Schizosaccharomyces pombe: one gene and its partner. The protein of the gene in region 2 interacts with the protein of the main gene of each other region in a pairwise test. Each region holds a gene or a part of one and is shown on either strand. Other genes may lie near its edges.

What was found.
Region 1: the proteins of mak1 (region 2) and mpr1 interact in a two-hybrid assay, tested with the Schizosaccharomyces pombe proteins (one study listed by BioGRID).

What each region holds. Positions count from the first base shown.
Region 1 is NC_003423.3:1,201,052-1,212,390, reverse strand, and holds mpr1 (histidine-containing response regulator phosphotransferase Mpr1), read right to left. Parts: upstream 9,340-11,339; 5' UTR 8,635-9,339; coding exon 7,747-8,634; 3' UTR 5,618-7,746; downstream 1-5,617. Other genes in the region: npp1 (nucleotide pyrophosphatase), read left to right, coding at 39-1,496; 2-hydroxyacyl-CoA lyase Hac1, read right to left, coding at 1,669-1,713, 1,765-3,426; SPOM_SPBC725.03 (pyridoxamine 5'-phosphate oxidase), read right to left, coding at 4,578-5,351; aspartate aminotransferase Maa1, read right to left, coding at 10,417-11,339. UniProt on the Schizosaccharomyces pombe protein: Binds to the msc4 response regulator which is part of a multistep phosphorelay system that transmits oxidative stress signals to the spc1 MAPK cascade.
Region 2 is NC_003424.3:4,706,193-4,719,108, reverse strand, and holds mak1 (phosphorelay sensor kinase Mak1), read right to left. Parts: upstream 9,401-12,916; 5' UTR 9,140-9,400; coding exon 9,071-9,139; exon of another isoform or gene 8,971-9,070; coding exon 4,120-8,970; 3' UTR 3,848-4,119; downstream 1-3,847. Other genes in the region: secretory pathway protein Sec18, read left to right, coding at 1-371; SPOM_SPAC1834.10C (uncharacterized protein), read left to right, coding at 798-1,020, 1,082-1,395; mug51 (variant protein kinase 19 family protein), read right to left, coding at 1,619-2,539; kinesin-like protein Klp3, read right to left, coding at 10,151-11,376, 11,450-11,603, 11,649-11,722, 11,931-12,030, 12,084-12,194. UniProt on the Schizosaccharomyces pombe protein: Involved in the control of the SAPK-dependent transcriptional response to peroxide stress. Also has a role in G2/M regulation.

The DNA of each region.
Region 1 (11,339 bases), on a different chromosome or scaffold from region 2:
ATACTCCTTTATATCATTGATTTTGAACATTCGCCGAAATGTTTAGTTGGGCTAATATTGGGTCCAACGAGTATTTGCCTTTGAAAAATGATCGAAAGGCTTATTTGAATCAATGGGCAAAACGATCGGGACTAGCAATTGCCGCTATTTGCATTTTAGGAATTCTGATATTGGCAATTGTGAAATTATTTTGCTTCAAAGCAATTATTTTTCCTATCGTTGGAGGTTCCTTCAACAATGGGACCAATGTTTTTCAGTCCACTGTCATCGTAATCTCCTTGGATGGATTCCGTGCTGATTACTTATATCGTGGGTTCACACCTAATCTTCTGAGCCTGGCTGAACGTAATGTCCATGTTCCCTTTTTGATTCCTTCTTTTCCTAGTATAACTTTCCCTAATCACTATACTATTGTTACCGGTTTATATCCCGAGAGCCATGGAATCGTTAGTAACAACTTTTTTGATCCTGTAACTGGGAAGCAATTTGTCAACAGTATGCCTGAATGTAACAAAGACCCAACTTGGTGGGATAAAGGGGAGCCTATATGGGTCAACGCTGAGCGAAATAACGTTCGATCAGCGGTACATATGTGGCCTGGAAATGAAGTGGAGAATCATGGTTACAGACCTACTTATTCGGATGGTTTCAATTTTGATACGACTCTAAGAGAAAAGAAAGATAGAATACTCGAATGGCTGGATCTTCCTGATAAAGACCGCCCTCAGTTATTACTTGCTTATGCTCCCCATGTAGATATGGTTGGGCACGCATTTGGACCGGATTCGCCTGAACTGAATATCATAATTCAAGAAGTTGATATCGTAATTGGTGAACTAATTGAAGGACTGAAGAAAAGAAATATCGATAAGCATGTCAACATTATTTTTTTAAGTGATCATGGAATGGCGCCTACATCCGATAATCGTCTTATCTGGCTGGATAATATGTTTAATTTGTCTGCCGTTGCACACAGAGATGCTTGGCCGTTAGGAGGTTTTAGAGGAGAATCTGATTTAGATGATGAGTACATTTACGAAAGTCTTGTTAATTATTCTCGCTCGTCATTACCTTCTGCTGAGAATTGGAATGTTTATTCAAAGAAAGATATACCTTCTCGATGGCATTACTCAAATAATGAAAGAATAGCTCCCGTTTGGATGATCCCGGATGTTGGATGGTCTCTTGTCTCGATGCTGGATCATTCACCGGAGTTGGAGTATGAGCCTTTGGGTGTACATGGTTATGACAATTTGTCTCCAGTGATGAGAGCACTTTTTATCGCTTCAGGATCTTCTTTTAAGAATTTTAAGGGAAAGAAGCTTGCACCGTTCCAGAACACCGAAATTTATGGCATTCTTTCGCATATATTAGATTTACCAGCTCAGCCTAATAATGGTACATATGAAGGTGCTTTACCTTTAAGAAGAAATCGTAATTCTACTAAGGAATGGTTGCTGAAGGACATAGAACAAGCATACTCTAAGCTTATTTAATTCTGCTGTTTTATCACTATCTTTATATTTTTTAATATTTTTAATTTCCTTTAGATTATATTTAATACTTTTTTTTAATAAACGACTTTATTTGAATAGCAACAATAACTGTATTCCGATTTTTAAGAATCGTAAAAGAACATCACTTCTTCTATTTTTAATTAAATGATGGTCATAACTTTGGTTTCACTTTGGTACTGCTCATCCATGCAAATGTCTAGTGATTGTTAGCTTGTTCTTATACCTAATTCATTCCATTAATACTTACCAATTTTCGAGCAGCCTCCGGGTCCACCATAACATTTATGAGAGATACAGATGAGGTTTGCCATGCTTTCCTGAGGGAACTTCTCAAATCTTCTTCATTCTTTACAAAGAAACCTTTACCACCACATGCTTCGCAAATTTGATCATAACGTATACTAGTGCCTAAGGCAGTAGTCGGTAATTGGTGATTATCACGTAAAGTTTCATAAGCATCAGTATCTAATCCATGGTAAACACCATTATTATTGATTACAATTACCAAAAGATCCAGCTGGTTGCGTATGGCGGTTTCCAGTTCCATGGCGCTAAAGCCAAAAGCACTATCACCCTCAACTACCACTATTTTGTCGGATGAATGGGCAAATGCGCTGGCAATAGCATATCCCATACCAACTCCCATTGTTGACATAGTGCCTGCATCCAGTCGACCACGTGGATGAGTTACTTCTAAAAGCTGACGGCCCCGGTCCATTGTATTGGCGCCTTCAGAAACCCAAGTGATATTACGCTTTGATTTGAGCGATAAGCTTTGTAGCTCCTCATTCACGACATACAAAGCATAATTCATTTGCAACGGTATACTGGACTTTCGAGATTCAAGAGCCTTTTTCTCATTCTTGGATCGGGTTTCATTTAACGTGCGAAGGTAAGGGGTCGAGATGCCAACACTGTACTTCCAAGTTTGAACGAGCTTAAAAAGACAATCTATTGTCAGACCTACATCAGCCCAAATTGCTAAATCCAAATCTGCAGCATTGTTTCCTAAAGTTTCAGCATTGGTATCAATTTGAATAAATTTGGCATTAGGAGACCACTTTGGTGGAAGACCATATTGAAATATCCAATTTAAACGTGCCCCTGCTAAGAGCACTACATCTGCATTACGAAGAGCAGCTGACCTTGCCGAAGACACATTTAAGGGATGCGATTCTGGTAACAAACCTTTGCCCATGGGACTCGGAAGAAACGGAATGCCAGTATGTTCAACAAATTCCAAGAGCTGTTTTTCAGCGCAGGCATATGCGGCACCTTTACCAACGACAAGCAGAGGTGCCTTTGCATTTTTTAAATAGTATGCAGCCTTCTGAAGCTGTGTTGGATCAGGTGCACATTTGGGAGAACTAGGAATTGGGGGTAGAGGGTCTTTAGGAAAGTCATCGACAGTAGATTCAATATAATTTGCTGGCAAGTCAACATAGCATGTTCCAGGAGTGCCGGTCATGGAGACACGATACGCTCTTCGAATGGAATCAACAACCATTTTGGGACTTGGGGGGCGCACGGCTAATTTCGTATGAGGTGATAAGTAAGAAACCTGGTCCAATTCTTGGAAGGCCCCACAGTTTTGCTGAAATGTTTCACTGGATCCAGCCAAAAGCAGCAAAGGCCATCGATTGGTTTTAGAATTGAAAACACCGGCCATGGCATGTACAACGCCAGGACCGCCTACCACGACACAGACCCCAGGGCGCTGAGTTAAATAGCCATAGGCAGTCGCTGCATAAGCTGCGCTTTGCTCATTGCGAAACCCGACAAACCGAATTCCACTTGCTTGGATAGCCTCACAAATTTCGATTACGGGAATGCCAACAATGCCAAAAACAACTTTAACCTCTAAGTCCAACAATGTCTTAGCTACCAATTCCGAAAAGCTTATAGACATTGTTATTACAAATTAATATGTACCTCTAAATTGAATAATATTGTTCACCAAACAAAAGCGATGAAAAGCTCAATGCAAAAGAAAGACAGAAGAAAACAAGAAAAGACTAAAGCAAAGTAAAGGTGGGTTTGGTTCCAGTAGCTAGCAATACCGTCCCTATTTCTCAATAAACTGACAAACTGAAGTGTATGTCACTCTGTAAACCAAGTGTTCTATACTTTAGAGAGAAAAAGAAGTTCTGATCTAGATGAGCTTAAATAACAGCAATGCTTAAAAAATGATGGATGAGCAATCCTGTATTTGAAATTGCTAATCCCTTATGTAACCGAGTACTAATAATCCAATGTATAAGCCAATTTGGTAAAATTCCTTAAAGTATTTAATGTATAGTAAGGAATACGTTAACAGGTTTTAAATTTGTATCGTTAATAAGTTAAGATCCACACATGTATTCAATAATGCCACTTAACTCAACGGGGACCTTTACGGTTCTATGAATACTGATTCGATAAAATTAAATGACTTGGCAATTCACCGTCCCTTCAAATAAGACATTGTGTTTCTTATGTGGTGCTTTATTCCCTTTTTTTTGCTACATTTCTACCTGCGTAAGACAATATAAGATAATAAAACAAGCCATATAGTAATAACCTTAATATAATATTATACAGGTAAGATCTTTTAATAAATGATCATCATTAGCAGGTAGGTTGGCCTATTTGCTTAATCTCGCAACAATTTTTTACAATGTCTTCCTGTAAGTACTTTAATACACACAATTTTCATAATTTTTTATTTATTATAAACGTAAATAGTTCATCAAGTGGCCGGATTGGAAATTTGACATAGGATAAGTGATAATTTAGTTGTTTAACAACGTAAATAAACATTAGAAAATTCGGAATACACTGAGTTTGTAGTTTGTACTCAGTATTATGCTTCAGTACTAAAAAAAAATTCAACTACAAAACCCACCGAATTGTAAGCTAGGCAAATTTGAGGGAATCAGACCTTTTTCATATACTCCACAAAAAAAAAGAACCAAAATGTTAGGAGTAATCATTATAAGTTAATATTCGTAGTTCATAAGTATTGCACGTTTATCAAGAGCAATCAATTCATAAAGGATGTGCGAAAAAAAAGGAAAACATTTAGACATTGACACGAGTGGAGGACCATTGTTTCGTGTTTAGATCTCTATTGTGCAAAACGCGCTTTCCTGGAGGAGGGGTAAGATTCAAAAACTCGACTTCGTTAGCCTCACAAACAACAAGAGAAAATCTACCCCAAGCAGTCTTCCAAGCTTCAATAACCCCGGGATCTTCTTTTCCAGTGAGGGTAGAAGGTAAAGGTGACACCTTCACATCGCCTTGGTATTTGGAGTATGAAGGAGGAGTAGAAAAGGAAGCGCGAAGTTCAGGACTATGTAACTCCCAAATACGTCTTCTTTCCTCTTCCCAAGACCATTCTTCGGGAATGCGGCCATTGCTGTTTATTAAATGATCCTGGATCAACTTGTCTGCGGGAAATTCATTTCGGTCGGCAAGTTCTGGTGTGTATAACCAAATTTGACCGGAAATACGAATTTGCTGCATTGTCTTTGGTAACCATCCACACATTTCAAATGCGTTCGGTATGGGTCCAGAGGGGAATGTATTTTTTTGCTGCTCAGCAATCTCAGCAGCTTTGTGAGAAGCAATATCCGTAGAGAATACCAATAAATCTGTAGCTAGCACATCATCGGGACGTGGTTTATGCCATCCTGTACCGACAAATCCTCGAATAGCTACAGTACGATTTCTGGGGTAAATTTCATTACCAGTGGGTAAAGTTGCCAGCTGGAAGTATTCGGGATGAATAACTCCACTGGAGTCGACATTTTCTTTTAAAAGCTTCAATAACTCATTTTTCCAAGCGAGGGACATGTTGGCAAACGATGAAATGGGATGCACGTATGAATCCTATATAAGTCACTTGTTTGACTGAAACGTCATTGACTTTGCTAAGTGTGTCGTACTAAAGGTCGCTCGCTATACAGAAATGATCTCTAGATATCTGTATAAGGCACAACTCTAAAGTTCGGCTAAACTTACTAACGAAATCGTGTGTGATTTCTGAAAAAGCAAATTGTACGTTATCGTGGATTACACTAATTTTTTAAAATATTCCTCTCTTCATCTGCTCAAGAGAATTGGTAAATAGTAAGAGTAAAATCATTTAATATTAGTGCACAGAGAAAGGAAAATAAGAAAATAAAGACAATAACTAGTAACTTAAAACAAAAAAATAAAACTTTTAACTAACAAAAATGGTTTCCCCTTCTAGATCTTCAAAGAACATTGCAATCCATATTCCGTTGTTCAGTACCTTAATCTGATTATTCACAGAACAATGAGCTGCCATCTAGTTTGCAAATTGATATAGAAAAGAGTATGCATTGTCTGTGTACAGGTTTCCAACATTGAAAAAGTGAGAAATGACAGCTTGCATATCCTAACAGATTTCTCTCACACCATTAGTGAGGATGCCTAGTCAATCAAAACCTGTACTTGATTTCAGCAAACTTCGTCCTCTTATCTTTAATTAACATAAGATTAGTCATCTAAAATTTCAACTTTGATACCGAAAAAAGCGGCCAACACCTTCTCGCATACCGGGGTTGAACATCGGAATGCCGAAATGCGATATCAATGAATACATTGTAACATCAGAGGATAAAAACAATGATAAAAATAATTTACAAATTAAATTGTCTCTGTCAGGCGTATCACTTGGATTATGACCATTTGCTTCACATTGCCTAGCAAACTAAGAAGGCAAGCGAGGTTTATGCCTAGTTTTTGCACATCTGTAGCTTCCGCATATTCAATTCATCCCGCATCATTCTAGAAAAACAAGGCGACGAAAAGCTGCACAACGGGTATGAAAATCCTAATAACGCTTCGCCTCCAAAGGAACGTCTATGAATCCGCAGGATCCTACTTGCCGCGCTAATTAACGAGGTATACTTGATTTCGCTGTTTCACACAAATCAATATTTCAATGTTCTCTTGTCTTTGCGGAATCGAACAAACTATACTTCGATTAACAAAAAAAAGAAGTTCGTTAATTTCATTTCATCGCAAACGTGTTTTCTTAGTTTTTATTCTCAAAAACGAACAATCTACAACGAAGAATTGTTTTCGATCTTTAACCCACAACAACAAAAACATTTAGTAAGTGACGCTAAAAGTCAGTTCGATCACACTTGAAAGTACACATATTAAACGCTGAATGAATCAAATCATAAATAATTATTGTATGTAATGACCATTTTAAGGTGTTTTCATTAATCCTTTAAATAATCTCTCTAAAGCGAGATAATGACAAAAGCAATCATAATTACAAAAAGCAAGAACAATATACTTAAAATTTTTGCAAGGTTTGTCAATCAATATTTGAAGTCCACCATAATTCACAACTCAGTAATGTACAAGGACGTGAAGGTTATCACCAAAATCATAAAAAATCCATCAACATCTCAAGTTGAATAATAAAAAAGGTAAACAAAGGAGAATCAGGTACATGTAATGATTAACATTAGGTTAAAGAAAATTTGAAAACACAGTTTAAAAACTTAGGAAAAACATAAAAAAACAACAACAAAGCAAATCAAACTCGAAAAAAAAAAAAATCTGTCGCCAATCGTGGGGATAAATGAGTGTTGAAGAGTAATTTGAATTAACCAAATTCAGCATCTTAAACGACCGGTTGTAAACATATTATCTAAGGTTTAAAGTCCTTCAACATTAGGGGATTGGGCTTGTGATAAACAATCACAATAGACAATTTCGTAAATAAACTAGATAAATAAAGGTATAAATACATGCCACGACCGTAAGAACGTAACAAACAAGAATTTTTTTTTTCGAGAAAGCAGCTTATTAAATACATAAAGTTTGATATCGAGAGCTTCAAAAATGTTCCGTAAAAAAAAACCGCAGGAAAACCCTGCCTGTTGCATATCTCAATATCAAAAAGGTAGACGAGGTAAAGCAAAAAATAGACTGTTTTTGATAGTTTTGGATAGGGGATACTCAACTAAATTGAGGACTTGTATTACTTCACTCTATTTGCTTTGATAGAGGGAAGCACTTCAAAGTACGGGAAAAGTGTGGGCGTCATAATAAATATAACTATTCAAACCGTAAAAGCTGGAAATTCATCACTAACTTCAAGTTATCGTAAATTTGGGAAAACTAGAAGACTTTGATAGACAACTGGTATAAATGTCATAAAAAGGGGGAAAGAAAGGCTAGGTACTTTGACATGTTGAGACTTTTATGTAGAAGAATTTTTTTCATAAAAGTCAAGTAAGTAAGCTCGAGCATCCTTATAAAAGTCGTTCACAACCGACAGAGATTTGCTAATCAAATCCAATGCAATTTCCTCGCTCGGTAATTTCATTACACCATCACGACTGCGTAGAGATCCGTAATTTTGGATACGTTCACAAACCTTTCTCATTTTTGTAAGGCCCAATACAGCTGAAGATCCTTTAAGGAAATGCCCCAACGAGGAAAGCTTCTTCAAATCCTTAGCCTCTAGGGCCTTTTGGAGGTCGGCAATGGTAGTCTCTGCCTGCTCAAAATAATTCCAAACAATACTCTTACTAAATTCATGCTCATCATCATCATCCATCTCAAGCAACTGGTCAAAAACGGAATGATCAATGAGCTGTTTGTCTTGGATGAGTTCATCCTCAAATGACATATCGTAAGCAATTACTGAAAGTTCATCCGACAAGACACCAGCCCCAACCAAAGCTTTGACTGAAGCAGCGGGAAGATTTTTGGCATTCGCATGGTCATCGCTAATAGAATTGGAGATGTCAACGGTCTCCTCCGTGCCTTCAGGTGCGCCAGCCGTCTCATTAGCAGCCAATTGTTGATTGTTTTCACTTTTGCTCGAAGATATACGTGACGTTAGAGCAACATAAGCAGGATTTGAGGTCAGTGGTAAAGAAGTGTCATTCGCTCCAGAACCATTCATAACCCGATAAGCATGGGGGATCGCTGACCCTGAAGGAGAGCGTGCACGTTCAGCTATGCCAGAATCGTGAAGAGTCTTAGCAAGACTAGCGTTACGCGCCTGTCCATTTCTTCGGGCGACACGATTTTCGAAGTTTCGGTCGTATTTCATATACATGTTATCACGATATACACTCATTTTTTAGAAAATAATTAAAAGAAAATCCAAAAAAAAAAGAAAAGGGTTTAAAGTAAGAGCGAATGGAGAAGCTCAGCTAAATTTTATCAGCAGTATTACTTTGCAAACAGTAAAATGTAGCAATCGATACAGAATATTGTATCAGATTTAAGACTTTCCTTTTTTAACAACGATTTGAAATTAAAGCGAGGAAATGTGAGTTATTGAAAGAGGCGTCGACAACACAAACAAATTATAAAAATAATGTGTGGTATGCCAGCAAAATGAAATAATCAACAGTTTCACTAACCTGTAGTACAGTACAAGGGCTATTACCAAAAGAAGAAAATGGCTTTACCACACAACCCACAAATACTAAATAGGATTTGTGGATAAATCTCCTTCAACAACGATTCTAATGGAAAAGAGTCAATACGGTTTTGGAGCTTTTTTTGCGTGTTCGAAACTTTGATGCCAAGTTTTAGACGCCACACAAACTTGCCTTCAGCTTCTGCTAAGTTCTAAAATTATCAAGCTCTACTAAAAAGGCGATATTATTGTTTTCGTATCAATTCAAAAGACAGAAAACCAATCCTCACAAGATTGTTAAGTGCTCTCTCTATAATTAAGTTCAAATGCAACAAGGGTAAGGCAGAGAGTAGAGACTATGGTTTTGCCTGTGCTTATGTCTGATTTTTAGATATTCTAATGTAGTAAATGGGAGACGGAAAGTAGGTAAATGCCGCGAAAGAATTGTTTGCAAAACTCACACTTGGGAGTGACGCCATGCAACGTAATAAAGCAGTCAAATGTACCGATACACAACCACCCAAAACGATAAAGTATATTAATATAATGACGCTACGTCTCACTATACCCCGAATTTCAATGATTCCTCCATATCAGTCAGTGTAGAAAAAAAAGACGAACTGGAGATGGAAGAACAGTTTCCCACCATCTTTGGCATTTTCGGCCATTTCCTAATAAGCGCAGCAATTCCTGATGGCTGTAGCATTGCACATTGGGAGGGAAGAATGATACTCTTTTTGCAGATATTTATTTCGATATCACTACATAGGGCCTATCCTAGTCATTGGAAAGGTGCCAATTTCCAGCGATATTCTCCTATTTTTAGAAATAATTAAAAGCTTTGCACAAATTTCATTCCTACCTCACTTATTTCGTACATCTCAGAAGTTTGATGAACTTGGGAAATCCCAACATATGACAAATGCAATGGGAAAGATAATTGATAGTTTTCCAACGAAAAAGTGGGATTTAATATGTATATGAGAGAGGATAGTAAAATGTGCCAAATTTTGGGTTAACTAGAGGCAATCTAAAGTATGAAGTAAGTGAACTACTAGACAAACATCTACAGAAACAAAGTATGGAAATAAATGAAGATAGACAAACGAAAAGCATACTATTTCGAAAACGAATCAATATTTAGTCAATTTTTAGATCCAAAATCCATTCATTTAAAAACAGACCATGCCATCTATTTGGAAGCAAAACTGTAGTTATTCACCTCAAAGCGAAAGTATAAGGAAAAAAAAATAAGCCGAGACAATTAGGTTACTAAATACGTCTTCTCATGGTTTCGGAGAAATGAAAAGGGAAAAAAAATTAAATGTATACAAATATATGTATATGTATATGTGTGTTTGAGTCTGTCTATATGTATGTATAATAAAATAAAAACAGAAAGAAGAACAAAAAAGATTCAGAACAAAGAATCAATCAAAAATCCATCTGTCTATATAATAAACCAAAATCTTTTCACTTCAATTTCACCACCGACTAATTCGAAGTAACGGCATTGATAGCTTCGGCAAAGTATCTTACATTGGAAGTGTTGAGACCGGAGATGCTAATACGACCATTCTTAGTGAGGTAAATGTGATACTGTTTAGCCAAAACATCAACTTGCTGGGGATTTAAACCAGTATAACAAAACATACCAATTTGGTCAGTGATATGCTTCCAGCTGTGTTTATTCTTAAGGTCCTTTTCAAGGATGTTGCGAAGAGCCTTACGCATACTCTTAAGACGTTCGGACATGCCTACAACTTCACCAGCCCACTGTTCACGAAGTGCAGGGTTGCTCAATATATGGTTGGCAATTCTGGCCCCATTGACGGGAGGGTTGGAATACAAAGCACGAATGAGAATCTTAGTTTGGCTTTCGATACGAGCGGCTTCCTCAGCATCGTTGGCTAAAATGCTAAAGCAGCCAGCACGTTCACCATATAGACCCATGTTTTTAGCAAAGGATTGGCAGAGTAACATGGGGACATTGCTGGAGGCGAACAGACGAGTGGCATAAGCATCACGAGCAAAATCACCACTGGCAAATCCTTGGTAAGCCATGTCTAAAAGAGCAAAATGGTTTTTCTTTTGCATTGTTTTGAGGATATCATCCCACTGAGCTTTCGTAGGATCTACACCAGTTGGATTGTGAGCACAAGCATGCAATAATATAATAGAGCCATCAGGAGCTGAAGTTAAATCGGACAACATGCCTTTAATGTCCAACCCACGAGTAGCAGGATCATAATACTTGTAGGACTTAACGGTCAAGCCAGCTCGAGAAAATACATTCTTGTGATTTCCCCAAGTAGGGTCAGATACGTAAATAGTCTTTGATGGATAAAATGAAGCAAGGAAATTAGCTGCTATACACAAGGCACCGGTACCACTAATGGATTGAGCAGAAACCAGCC
Region 2 (12,916 bases):
CCTTACTTCAAACACTTATGGTTCTTTTCAAAAAGCAACCCCCCAAGGGTCATCGATTGCTTATTTTAGCAACTACCTCTGAACGTACTATGCTCTCTCGAATGGATATGACCCAATCGTTTGATGCAGAAATAGCAGTTCCTAATGTCTCCAACGTTACTGAACTGGACCGCATCATACAATCAATAGATTCATTTGCAGACAGCAATGTTCGAGCTGATACATTACAACGTTTGCAGAACTTTACTGGTACTGATGCTGTCAATGTCGGAGTAGCCAAGATTCTTATGATAGCCGAAACGGCTAAACAGGATGTAGACGTTGTTTCCTGTTTTGTTGAAGCCATGGCCCGTGCTATTCCTATGGAATAGCAATGACACCTTTTTAATAACTGAGACGTTTTAGTCATGAATATTTTCTCAAGGTTTTTTATATTTTATACCGTTATAGATTATAGTTAATGAATACACCGCAATACTGTATGAATATTAAGTTAAAAGATGTTCGAACCTATATGTAACGTTAAAAAAATTAAATCATCTTGTTAAATGAATGCTTATCAATATAACTTTATAGCCTTTTATAGTCAATTATCCATAAATAATCATTTGAAGCATTGTAAACAATTTAAGCATACTACATTACTCCCATACTGAGAGGCACAATTTACCAATTCGCTATTTCCACTCCACATTGACCCGGTTCATATTCTAAATCTTTAATTTCATCAGTCATAAATAGTAAAGGACATGGAAATTTAAAAATCGTAACATTCAACTCACATACTTAATTCTAAAATGAATATGCCCTCCGAAATACTACTTGGTGCAAGACGCTGGTTTGCTTCAACATCATTTAGTCTAGCAGCTGTATATGATGCTCCACTTAAAAAAGCTATAGGAAACATTAAAAAGTTTTCGATTGGATCATTAGGTTTAACTTATATGATTTCTCCAGTGATGCTTTTACTTGATGCAGGAGGTTTAAGTTTGGGAACGAGAATGTCGATGGTTTTCTTGGGTATGTTTCATCAAGAAATCGGATTACCAAAATTTCCAAAGCAAATTTATTAACATGTTAGCATGTACTACTACTAGTTTGTCGACTGCAATAATTCACTGGGCTGCTAAATCTTATGTTTCGGAGGCAACGTTAAAGGGAAACGTGCTATCTTTAAATACATTTAATATTCTAGGAAAAAAGCGCTTATCCCAATATACTTTAGACAAGCTCAAAATCCCTGATACCAACAATAGTCGTCCATTCGCAAACCTTGAAAGCACTACTGTACCCAAACGATATTTTTACTTGCACCCAGAATTGGCTACGCCAATTTTTAATGCTATACGGCAGGCACAGCAACCTAAGCAAATAAACAAAAACGATTCGAAATAGATATCATAATAACTATATAAGTTTTTTAATATAAAATTCAATGTATTGTAATTTAGGTCTTAATCGAGTTTGAAATGTAGAACGAATAAAATAATGCTCATCTTTTGAATAAAAAAGGGAGGAAAAAAATGGTAAAGATTGATTAATGAAAGTGTATGATATGAATAAATAGTACCGTATCCGATTGTTCTCGAATATGTGTGAATTATCTGACGACAGTGTTTTAAAACTTCATTTCAAGTCCTTTTTTAGTTAAACGGAATGCTCTTCCACAAGTAGTCATAAACGAATCAACCAGTCCGGCTCCTATGGCGTCGCAAAGTCGAAACTTCCAACCAAAAAATGCTTCGTTCTTCTTTTTGCAAGCTACCGAAACATTGCGATTATATAGTGACGATTCAATTACTTCGCGGTACGGCCTCTTTTTTAAATAATTTGACAAGTCGTTTCTGCTGTTACGCAAAATATGAGTAAAAATGCCAAGGTTGGGTAATGAGATTCCGTAAGAGTCAGTGCCAGCAAGAATAAGAAAGCCCATACTAATCAGCAGTCGTCGTTCCTCCCAATTAAATTTCAACTCCTCGGATGTGTAGGAAGGTAGTGGATTTTCAATCAATAGTTTATGCAACTTAAAGATTAGCGTATAAATATGTTCCTGATCTTTGAACTTGCACAAATAGTATGTAAATAATTTATCAAACTCAGGTCGCAAAATTAAGCAAGACTCACCACAGAACTTGTCAGATCTATTTAGGTAAAGACGACGGATGTCTCCTGTACGTATAGATTGTTCTAACTCTTCAGCAACACTGGTATAGTTTGATTGAAATAAGCCTATCAACTGTGTTTCCACAATCATTCGCGGACACTGTGCAACTAAAACATTCGTTTGCTGGCGCATTTGAATGTCACGAAACATTTCCTCAACTAAAACTTCTATAGAGTTTCGTATCGTTTTGTTTCTTAATACAATCAATGGAGGAACATTGTACGAAATGATGTTTAATGGTGATTGACCAGTACACATAGATGCTTTAGAGTGGTTTTTTTCAATTGCTAAAGAAGTCTTTCTCCTTTTGCTAAACAGTCTGTCTATTTTAGTCTGTCCATTCTTCTTTTTATTTATTTTTAATAAAGCAGGCATTGCCAAGGTAGGTAAGGGAAGTAACTTACTTTACAGAAATTTCGTTAGTCGAGTTTTCATCACCTTCAACATTTAACGCAGTGATTTTTTAATTGCCAGCTACGCAGTTTAATAACTATTTTAACGATACGAAAAACTGCAGTGAGTTTTCCTTGCGACTTATACAGTAGTACAGGAAAATAAGTAGCAACTCGTTAAAGATATTCTAAATTTGGGGTTACAATGTAACCTATTAGTAAAATAGTTTATAGTTGGGCTAAGGAACGAGGTTTAGTGGTGGCTTCATTATAATCTTTTTAATGGTTCATAACAGTGGGAGTCTATTTAAATTAATAAAAGGGTGGTTATCGGCAATTATCAATACACGGATTGAACTAAAATCCTAACATATGGCATACAGTGAGTGTTGCACAACTGTAGTGTCAGCAATACTACACTACGCTATGATACATTACGTTGCGTATCACTATATGTCATATGTTGGAATACTAGCTAAGATCCGTTTATTGATAATCACGGGTAACTATCCGTCTATATACATAGATACCCGTTGATAACAACTATTTAGAAATATTATAAATAGCGTTACAACTGAACCTCGTTCCTCAGTTCAGTTATGAGCTATATTAGTGATAGGTAACATTATAACCCAGTTAATACAATACCTATACTCAGTTGCTACTTATACAACCTGTGTATTGTAATATAATAGACCACAAGGAAAACTCACCGCAGTTCTACGTATCCTTAAATCAGATACCAAACTGCGTAGCTTACATGTAGCTAGTGTAGTATTGCTGACATGTAAAATAGTAATACTATATAACGTAGTATAAGTATTGATGCATTATCTAATCGGTTGTAGGCAAAGCCAGTAATTGAACTAAATATACTTTGTACGACGAAAGGTATTGATACCAACCAAGAACTTGTTTTTTCTTTCTGGACTGGCTTATAGCATTCCCCTTGGAATTAGAATAAAAATCCTGTCTACACAGTGAACAAATATATGTAGTGATGCATAGTGAAGTGTAGCATAATTTACGCTTATGGTAAGGGAAAAAATTTGCTCCAGCAGTGACTTGAACACTGGGCCTCTTGCTTACTAGGCAAGCGCTCTACCACTGAGCTACAAGAGCTAATTACGAATTACCTAAAGTTTGCATTTAACAATGAGAATGTATCCTCGAATTGATTATTTGACTGCTTCCTATACTTTAATTTGGTTTGTATTTCAAAACTGATTGATTAGCACACAATACAATTTTTTTTTTAACTTGCCAATAAAATACACATTACATTAAACAAGGGGAATATGTGATATTTAATATTATTATACTGGTTCTGGGCGCTGGAAATATAAATGCATTAAAAAGTTAATAAAATAAAATATGAGATGCTTAGATAATTATTATTTTGGAAAATATTCAAAATAAGAAGTTGTCAATTTAAATAAATATAGGCACTAAATAAGCTTTTGATCAAAACAAAGAAAAAATATAAAGTAAAAATAAAAGCATTAAAACAGTGAGATCCTTTCTAAAAATACAAGCAAAAGTGAGTGAAGATTAAATATCAAATCATTTGTGTAACTTTGATTGGTTCGTATAATTAAGTATGCCAGATATGATTAAGGACAAGTGTTGCAAAGTAATAGGTTTGGCAAGGTAAGAATCAAAACCACTATCTTTGCAGCTTAAAACAACATGAGGTAAAGCATTCGCACTAAGTGCAACTATAGGAACTTTAGGGTAATCGTTTTCCAATTCGTATTTACGAATTTCATTACATGCCTGGTAACCATCCATAACAGGCATTTGTAAATCCATTAGAATAAGAGAGTAAAAATTAGGCTTTTCACGTTTCCATTCTTCAACACATTGCAAACCGTCCATGGTGACCTTGAATTTGACACCAATTCTTTCAAGGTAACGGCTTATAACCTTAATATTGATAATGTTGTCTTCCGCCAACAACACGCTAAAGCCAGACTTTGCCAGATTATATCGGAGTGTTTCAGCATCAGCCTTCTGCTCCATTGCAGCCTTTCGAGTCATATCATTAAGTGCACCGATTTTCCCCTTTTCCTCAGAATCAGAATAAAATAATGGAAAAAACTTGGATGGTTTCACAAGTTTTAAAACGTAATGGATGCTTTCCGAATTACAATCCTCGCTATCTGAAAAAATCTTAGATAATGATTCTTTTTGTCGAGTGGAAGTCACCAAAATAAATTTTGTATCCTTGTATAGACTACAAAGTTGCAGTGATTTGACAAATAAAACATATGCTTCTATGTCCGGAAGATTTAATATAATATGGGTGACCTTGGATTGCATAGGATTCTCTAGCAATTCTTCAAAGGCTTCATAGGTATTTCCATACCTTACGATATCTTTAAATGAGCTTATATCGATAATTGATTGAAGCATGTTGCCAATCGCTTCACTACTGTATTTAGTGTGTGATACAACAACGGCTAAAGCACTTTTATCCAACTTGATCCCAGAAGGTTTGTTTCTATAGAGTCTCCAAAATAGAACTGTGTATGGATCAGCAGATGCGCCGCATCGACAAAATTCCGATTCAGAAGCGAAAGGATTCACATATTTGTTGGATTGAACATTTTTGTCCGATTCAAGTTTACGTCGGTTGCTTTCTCTTCCGGGATCTGCTTTATTTACGGCCAATTTTACAAAATTCGTCGCGCTTTTATCGTTTCCATCGTCTGCGCAATAATAGTCTTCTGTGCTTTGTTTGCTTTTTTCGTATGGACAAAAACAGACTGGACAACAACCATCTGGGGGTTCAAATTTTAGAGGAGTTTTATCCATTGTAAACGTTGCAGTCCACATAAAGCGCGTTCCCACGCCTCTTCTACTTTGACAGGACATACTACCATTATGTAGCTCAACAAGCTCTTTTGAAATAACTAATCCAAGACCTGAGCCACCATGTCTTGGTAATGTAGAACTCTCTACTTGAGAAAACGGTTTAAACATTTGTAATTGATCATCTCTGTTAAACCCTTGACCGGTATCAATGCATTCCCACTTTAAAACAACAGTATTGGTTGAGTAATCAATCTTTTCAACGGAACAACGAGTAAAAACTTCACCAACATTCGTAAATTTAATAGCATTTCCGATCACATTCAAAGCAACTTGCCTCATTCTCATATTATCCCCAAATACTATATCAGGAACATCAATGTCAACCGTGTAGTTCAATTCTATTCCCTTTGAAAAAGCGAGGGTACCTAGAGTTTCGTTTGCATCTTCCATCATAGCTCGTACAGAAAAGCGTTGGCTAGTTAGCTTCATCATTCCAGCTCTGACTTTACTAAGGTCCAAAATATCATTGATAACAGTCAAAAGAGACTTAGCTGATTGCTGAATAATACGTGCATAACTCAGCTGTTCGGCAGACATTTGAGTTTCCAACAAGAAGCTTACCATGCCTGTAATACCGATAAGAGGGGTTCGAATTTCATGAGACATATTGGAAAGATACTGCATTTTGCTCCGAACAATTCTTTGAGCTTCAATGTTAGATTCTTGGAGCTTTTCTTCCAACATTTTATGATCGTGAATATCAGTACAAGTTCCTAACCAGAGATTAGTAGACGTATCAGCAGAATTATTTACGCAAACAGATTTCACCAAATGCCATCTATAATGACCATCGGTAGATCTAAAACGTATCTCCGCCGCAAACGTTTTGGTACCATTACTTTCGTCTTGGTTATTAAACGTTCCCTCCAAAGATTCAGGCAATAAACATTTCTTGCGATCAGCGTGATATACAGCAGATAAAAACCCAAGTCCCAATGAAGATTCCAGTGAAAGACCTGAATAACTTAACCACTGCGCATTTGCATAAATAATTCCATTTTTACCATTTGCGGCAAAAACAATTTGAGGAGAAGCTTCAGCTAAAGACCTGTAGCTGTTTTCATTTGCGGCTATAGCTGATTGTTTTTGTAGTTCTCGTTCTGCCAACTTTTGATCATGGACATCCGTCATTGTTCCAAAAAAATGTAGCACAGATCCAGTGCAATCCCGTAAAGGAACCGCGCGACAGATAAAGTATCGATAAACATTATCAAACCTTTGCAAACGAATTTCATGATAAAAACCACTACCAGAGAATAATGAAGATTTCCAGTCATTTAAAAAGTTTGGCAGATCATCAGGATGAATTCGACTAAATTGTAGCTCTATTTGCTCATTCATATTTAAACCACAGTAAAGAAGAGTTTTTCTATTAACCCATGTGAGTTTTCCACTTCCCGGATCCGCAGTAAACACATGAACCGGTATAGAATCAATTATAACCTTTAGTAAGGGAAAAGGAGGCGCTTGACCACCACAATGCCCTTGCACATACTTGTGAGATTCAGAAGTGCAACAGGCATATGATTTTGATTTATCTAAAACAATTTCATCCTTCTTTAGAGTAATAGTTTCATTTGAATAATTTTCACCATCATTTAGCGAGAATCTCAAATTCTCGTTCACTTTAGAATTCTTTTTGCTAATTCGAGACTTCAATCTAGCTAGCAAACGATGCTTCTTTAAAGTAACCCATGATCGCTGGTTTTTTTTAAAAAATTCAGAAGGAACTGGTACAAACCTAGGCAATTTAGGTATGTTATTAAGAGAAGATCCTTTAGCATTGATATTGCAAAAGCTGCCTACGCACTCTCCTTCTTTATGAGGACAATCAGAGTTTTCGGAGCTCGCGCTCATACTCAACTCCTTGGTATTGTCAGTGCTAGACGTGTTAAATAATAGATGCCTTTGTGTAGGACAAGGAAGTAACGGAACAGATTGAGAATTTGAGTATGAAGAAAAAATAAAGGGTATCAAACGTTCTATGGAGGCTATTAAATTTTCCGGATAAGGAACTAAATTGGACTTGAAAGAAAGAATTGCAATTGGAGCTCTCCCACGGCTTGAAGTTTGATCCGAACAAGGAAACATCAGAGGAACATGTACAATACTGACAGCAGTTTCAGTAGGAAAACTGGTGAAGTCGTTCAAATGATCTTCTTGACGCCTGTTACCAGAAAAATTCATACCTTTACAATCATCATTAACAGCTGTTTCTGATACGGACTCTGAAGCAGACTTCTCTGTTGACGATTCAGTAGCGAAAGAAGATTCTTGCAAGCAATTTTGGAAGAATGGATTCCTATTAGGATCTGTTTGAATGGAGGGACTAGCAACTGGAGATCTTGACCAAGGAGAAAGTAAATTTTGTTCATACTCATCATAAATGTTTGAAGGTTCTTCCGAAAAAGACGAACTTTGTGCTTTTGAAATGTCACTTTGGGAATACGGTTTACGATTCTGACTGAAATGTGAAACAAATGCTCTCTTTTTCTGTGGATAAAGTCCATTTAACTGAGCTGCAGAAGCACTAATTTCAACCTGCTTTTTCAATTCATTAAGTTTTTCATCATGAAAAACTTTCCATGAATTCTTAATGCTGCGAATATCATCAACATTAGGTATAGAACTAAAGTAATCATTATCATGAACCTTGGTGTTTTTAACAATGTGCTGTTGTTTACGTGTATATACAAGCAATGTCGCACGCTCCAAGACTGTTTGTACAACTTTGCTATCAATAAGCAAATCCCCTTCATGTTTAAGAGAAGCTGGATCTTTGTATATAATACCCTTTGAACCATCCGAAGCAACTACGGTAACATAAGAACTGCTAGCAAGGTTGTCATTAACACTTATAGGGTTACTATACGGATCATAATGGGAACCGCCATCGTAATAACATCTGAGTTGCCAAGGAGTATTGTATATGTCAGAAAGGTCACGCGGTTCTACAACAGATATTTGAGTGGAAAAAAACTGCTGAGCGAAAAAGTCAATAATGTTTTTCCAGAAATTCATCAAACCGGTTTTAAAGACCAATAAGCAAGCCATTTCATACACATTTCCAATGGTACGGTTACGCTTCTCCTGTAACTGCTTAAATAAGTTAGCGGATGAATCTGTTTCAAATGGTTGCTCATCAGTTAGTGAGTGCGAAGCAGAAGTATTATCGTTGTTCAAAGCATTTCCACAAGAAGAAACGGATGGAGCAGGTGAATGGCATAATGAATTTAGTGATTCCCTAGATTTTTGAGGAGAATAGCAATCTGAACTCATTGAGGAGGTTTTAAATAACTCATTGGGACGTTTGGATGTCATCAATCGATTTGGATTTACTCGGGGAAAATTAATAAGTCGCTCATCCTCTAGTGAAGGAGAAGATACATTATTGAAAGAAAATGAATTTCGATGCTGCCTATTTAAACTGGTGGGAGATTCAAGTATCGGAGAATGAACAGAGCCAACAGAAGAGTTTTGAGAATTAGTAAACGATCCTACAATTTTTGATGATTTTTGCAGCTGGTGGTCCATGGCCTTATTCAAACGTTAGTAATTTAAATTAATTAAGTAACAAGAGATATCACATTTTATTTCATATTTAAAAAAGGAGAATCCAAGTATTGAAATCACTTACCTCTTTCAACTTTTCCAAGTGAGAATTAGAACCAACGTTATTGTTGATTTGATCGTCAGGTGGCCTCATTTTTTTAGACTAAATTTACAGGCCAGTATAGATACTAAATAAAACAAAGTTTCCAACTGTAATTACCAAAAAGAAAGTGCTATCTTATAAAGATCGTTTCAAATAAAAAACTGATGTATTTGAGTTATTTGACCACGGCAACCAGCAATGGAAATTATAAGCGTACCATTTAAAACGCTTTTTTCCTAGCGACTTTACAGCACTGAAGATTGGTAAAAAGTGTTCGAAATAGGGAAATGAAACAACTCAACAAGTTGTGTTAGCAAAATGTAAATGGATATTGAAGATCGCGTAAATGTTGTTTAGCGAAGATTGGTGGCTAGTAAATATGATCGTTCTGTTAGAAACAAGTCACTACACTATACTGTGCTGCGTTAGTTCAACTTTTCATAATATTCATGATTCTCCGTATTTCCATCCTTAGTGTAAATCTTCTATACTAGTAGTTTTATAACAATGCATTATGTTGATACATTCAAACCTTCTTTCCTGACTTCAGTTATAAGCCATATATGTGTGGTTATGTTAGTGTATTCAATATCATAATTATATTGATACAACATTTTACCATCTACGATAAACATCCTACATAAGATTATATACATCGCAAGTAACACTTAAACTACAGTTCGTTGTAGCTTAAAAAAGGTAATGATTGCTTAGCCAATAGTCAATCCTTGCTAAAGAATAGTAGTCTCAGATTACTAAATTCGCTGATTATATTATAACGGTAAATTTTTATTGAATTGTTATTACATCATCATTTGAGATGTTACACATTTGCTGAATAAGCATATAAACAATGCATTGCTGCGTAGCTGTTTTCTTTTATATTATAATGCTGCAGCAATATAAAAGAAGCTGCATAAATAATTAGTCAGAAAATTAGTTTATTCAGAAAGCAGCTAGACGAGATGCAATATTTCATGATTAAATGTGAGCTCAACAACTCTAAAGAAATTAATTAAACATATATAATCCTTCGCAAAGCAGAGTAAAAAAGTGTAGCTTTTAAGTGCCCCCTTGAATTTTCTTAATTACTGTTCCATTTTGAGGTCGCTCTTTGGAAATTAAAGCTTTAATCAATTTTCGTTGAACATTTACTAGAGCAGCCAGTGAGGAATCCAAAGTACTCAGTTTTTGTAAAAAATTGTTTCTCTCGTTATTTATCGAAAAATTTTTATCTTTCTGTTCTATTGTAAAACCCGGTTTGTCATTTAATGAGTTGTTTGCAGTAAGATTTGAATTTACTCTGTGGTTTTTAACAAGCTCAACATACCGCTCCTGAGCATCGCCCAATGCAGTCATAAGGTCTGACAATTGCTGTTTAGTGGATGATAAAACACCATCTCGTTGTTTAAGTTCAAGTTGTGCTTCAGCATACAAACGATTGATAGAATCAGAATCAAAGTTATGTCTGTGTATCGAAGCAACTGTGCTTTCGTCTCTGTCATTATTACTTTCCTGAATTGTTCTATTTCCTTGAATGATTTCTGCTTCCTTTAAGTTGGATTTTTCGGCGAGATTTGACAGTGTGAGGGAATGCTCGCCTGACCATACGTTAGAATGACAATTATTATAGTCTAAGTTATTGTTAATTCTGGCTCCACAAACGCAACGAGACAAAGCATCTTTATAAATATACAGCTGTCTTTTCATTTCATCAACAGAAAGTTCTGAGTTTACTACCGCTTTGTTTTTGATGCTCTTTGCACGATGTCCAAACCTAAGAGTAGATAAGGTCTCTGTTGCATTGTATGAATCTGGTGAACAGTTAATAATTAGAGTGGTCCGAGAATTTCCACCAAGAGACTCTTTTAAAATACGCGTTAACTTGGAATCTCTATAAGGAACATGTGATAATTTGCTGTCTGTGAGAGAATTAATAACCATTCCAAGAGTTGAAAGAGAACGGTTTATTTTCTTTGCTTCTTCTAAGGTTTGCCCGACTGCTCCACTTTTTCCTACGCTTTCGGAACCTGCCAAGTCAACTAAAAACAACCGGCCTCGTCGAGTTTCGCCGGACTCAGTGTCCGTTTGGACAACTTCGAGTACAAAAATAGAATGAGACCGTGAACTTTGCGCATTCATCGACGTACTTGCAACGGCACGTGACCCCATACCTTTATTTAAAATATCCAATGCCTCCGTTTCACTTGATACGTAAATCGTTTTTAAACCTTGAACATAAACTCCCTGAAGTTTATCTTCATGAACCGTCAGTCTGTCATTTTTTTCTGTAAATCATGGTTAATTTTGCTGAAATTAAATACGAACGTCGCAAAATTTCTACGGCATTTGAAGGCTTACCGGAAAGTAGATCATGAATTTTTTCCATGTAGATTTCCATGTATGATACCTTCACTTCGTATTCAGTAGTAGATGGTGAATCGCGGATTTTGTCAAAAATACGCCTGAGCATTCTTGGAGTCATTCCTTCTTTTTCGAAATTATTTTCAATACCCTAAAGATTGTTAGAAAAGTGTGCCAGGTGAAATTGTGAATATACCATCATGGTGTATGTTTTGCCGGATCCTGTCTGTCCATAGGCTAGTACTGTTCCGTTATAACCCAAGAATAAGTCTATAATATATTAGTACATATTTAATGAAATTCAGAACAACTTGAATGTGATTCGAACAATGTATTAAAATGGCAATTCGTTTCAAATGAAGCGTCAAAACGAGCGCATATAAAAAAAGGCTATGCTATAATTTCATACAAGCTGTTGCTGACAACGATGAAATTAATCCGTTCAACGCCGTGTAAAGTTTTACTATCATTCACATACCATCGACTGTCGATTCAATTGAATACGAAAATATATCATTCTGAGTGCTAGAAGGATGAAAAACACGATCGAATACAAAGTTTCCTGAGTAATCACTAGTCTTTTAATCATGTCAGCCGAATTCTAAAGTAAAGATCAATTGTTGAAACCTACCTCGATATGAACAGTAGAATCGTTTAATGGGTATATCACATTATTTCCTCCAAGGTCTTGTTCCAACTGGTTCGTGGGCCGAATTCGGCACACTACTTTAATTGAAGTCATTGAGTAAAACTGCTTTATAAAAAGATAAAAAATCAAATAATGTATGATTAAAACGCAGTATATAAATTAGATCCATACATCCAAAAAAATCATTAAAGACAATATGTGAGCGGGCTAATTTCATATACAGGGAAAGACGAGGTTAACCTAACATGGTGCCTCTACAATAATTGTTGTTTAAGGCAACGTATCAAAAACAGAATAATATCATGTAATTAACTACATAATTGTTTAATGTTAAAGCTCGAAGTGTGAATTAAAAAAAATAAATTTACAAATCAACAGGCTAAAATTGTTTACTTCCTTCTACATATTCTTTTTTTCCTGATATTATTTGAAGATTTACACATGTATAAAATTCTTAAGATTGTTCAATCTTGATTCATATTTTAAGCAGAGTATTTTACCCTTCGTCTGATTAATATCTGTGACGAAAATTGGATTGCAATTTCTCACATATTTATTTATGAAAATTTGATTAAATGGTAAGAACGAGAAACCTCGCAGGTATTTATTTATTTTTTTTTTTAAATTAAATAATTTTTTTAAATTGTGAAGTTTATATGGAGATTTGGATGTATTTGCAATTTACAAGTTTATCCCAGATACTATTTCAAACATTAGCATTAAAAAACGTTTGTTTTACTACTTTGTATTTCTACTAGCTATACCAACCTACCAATTCATTTACCGAAGAGAAAAAGGTATGGAAAATGCATAAT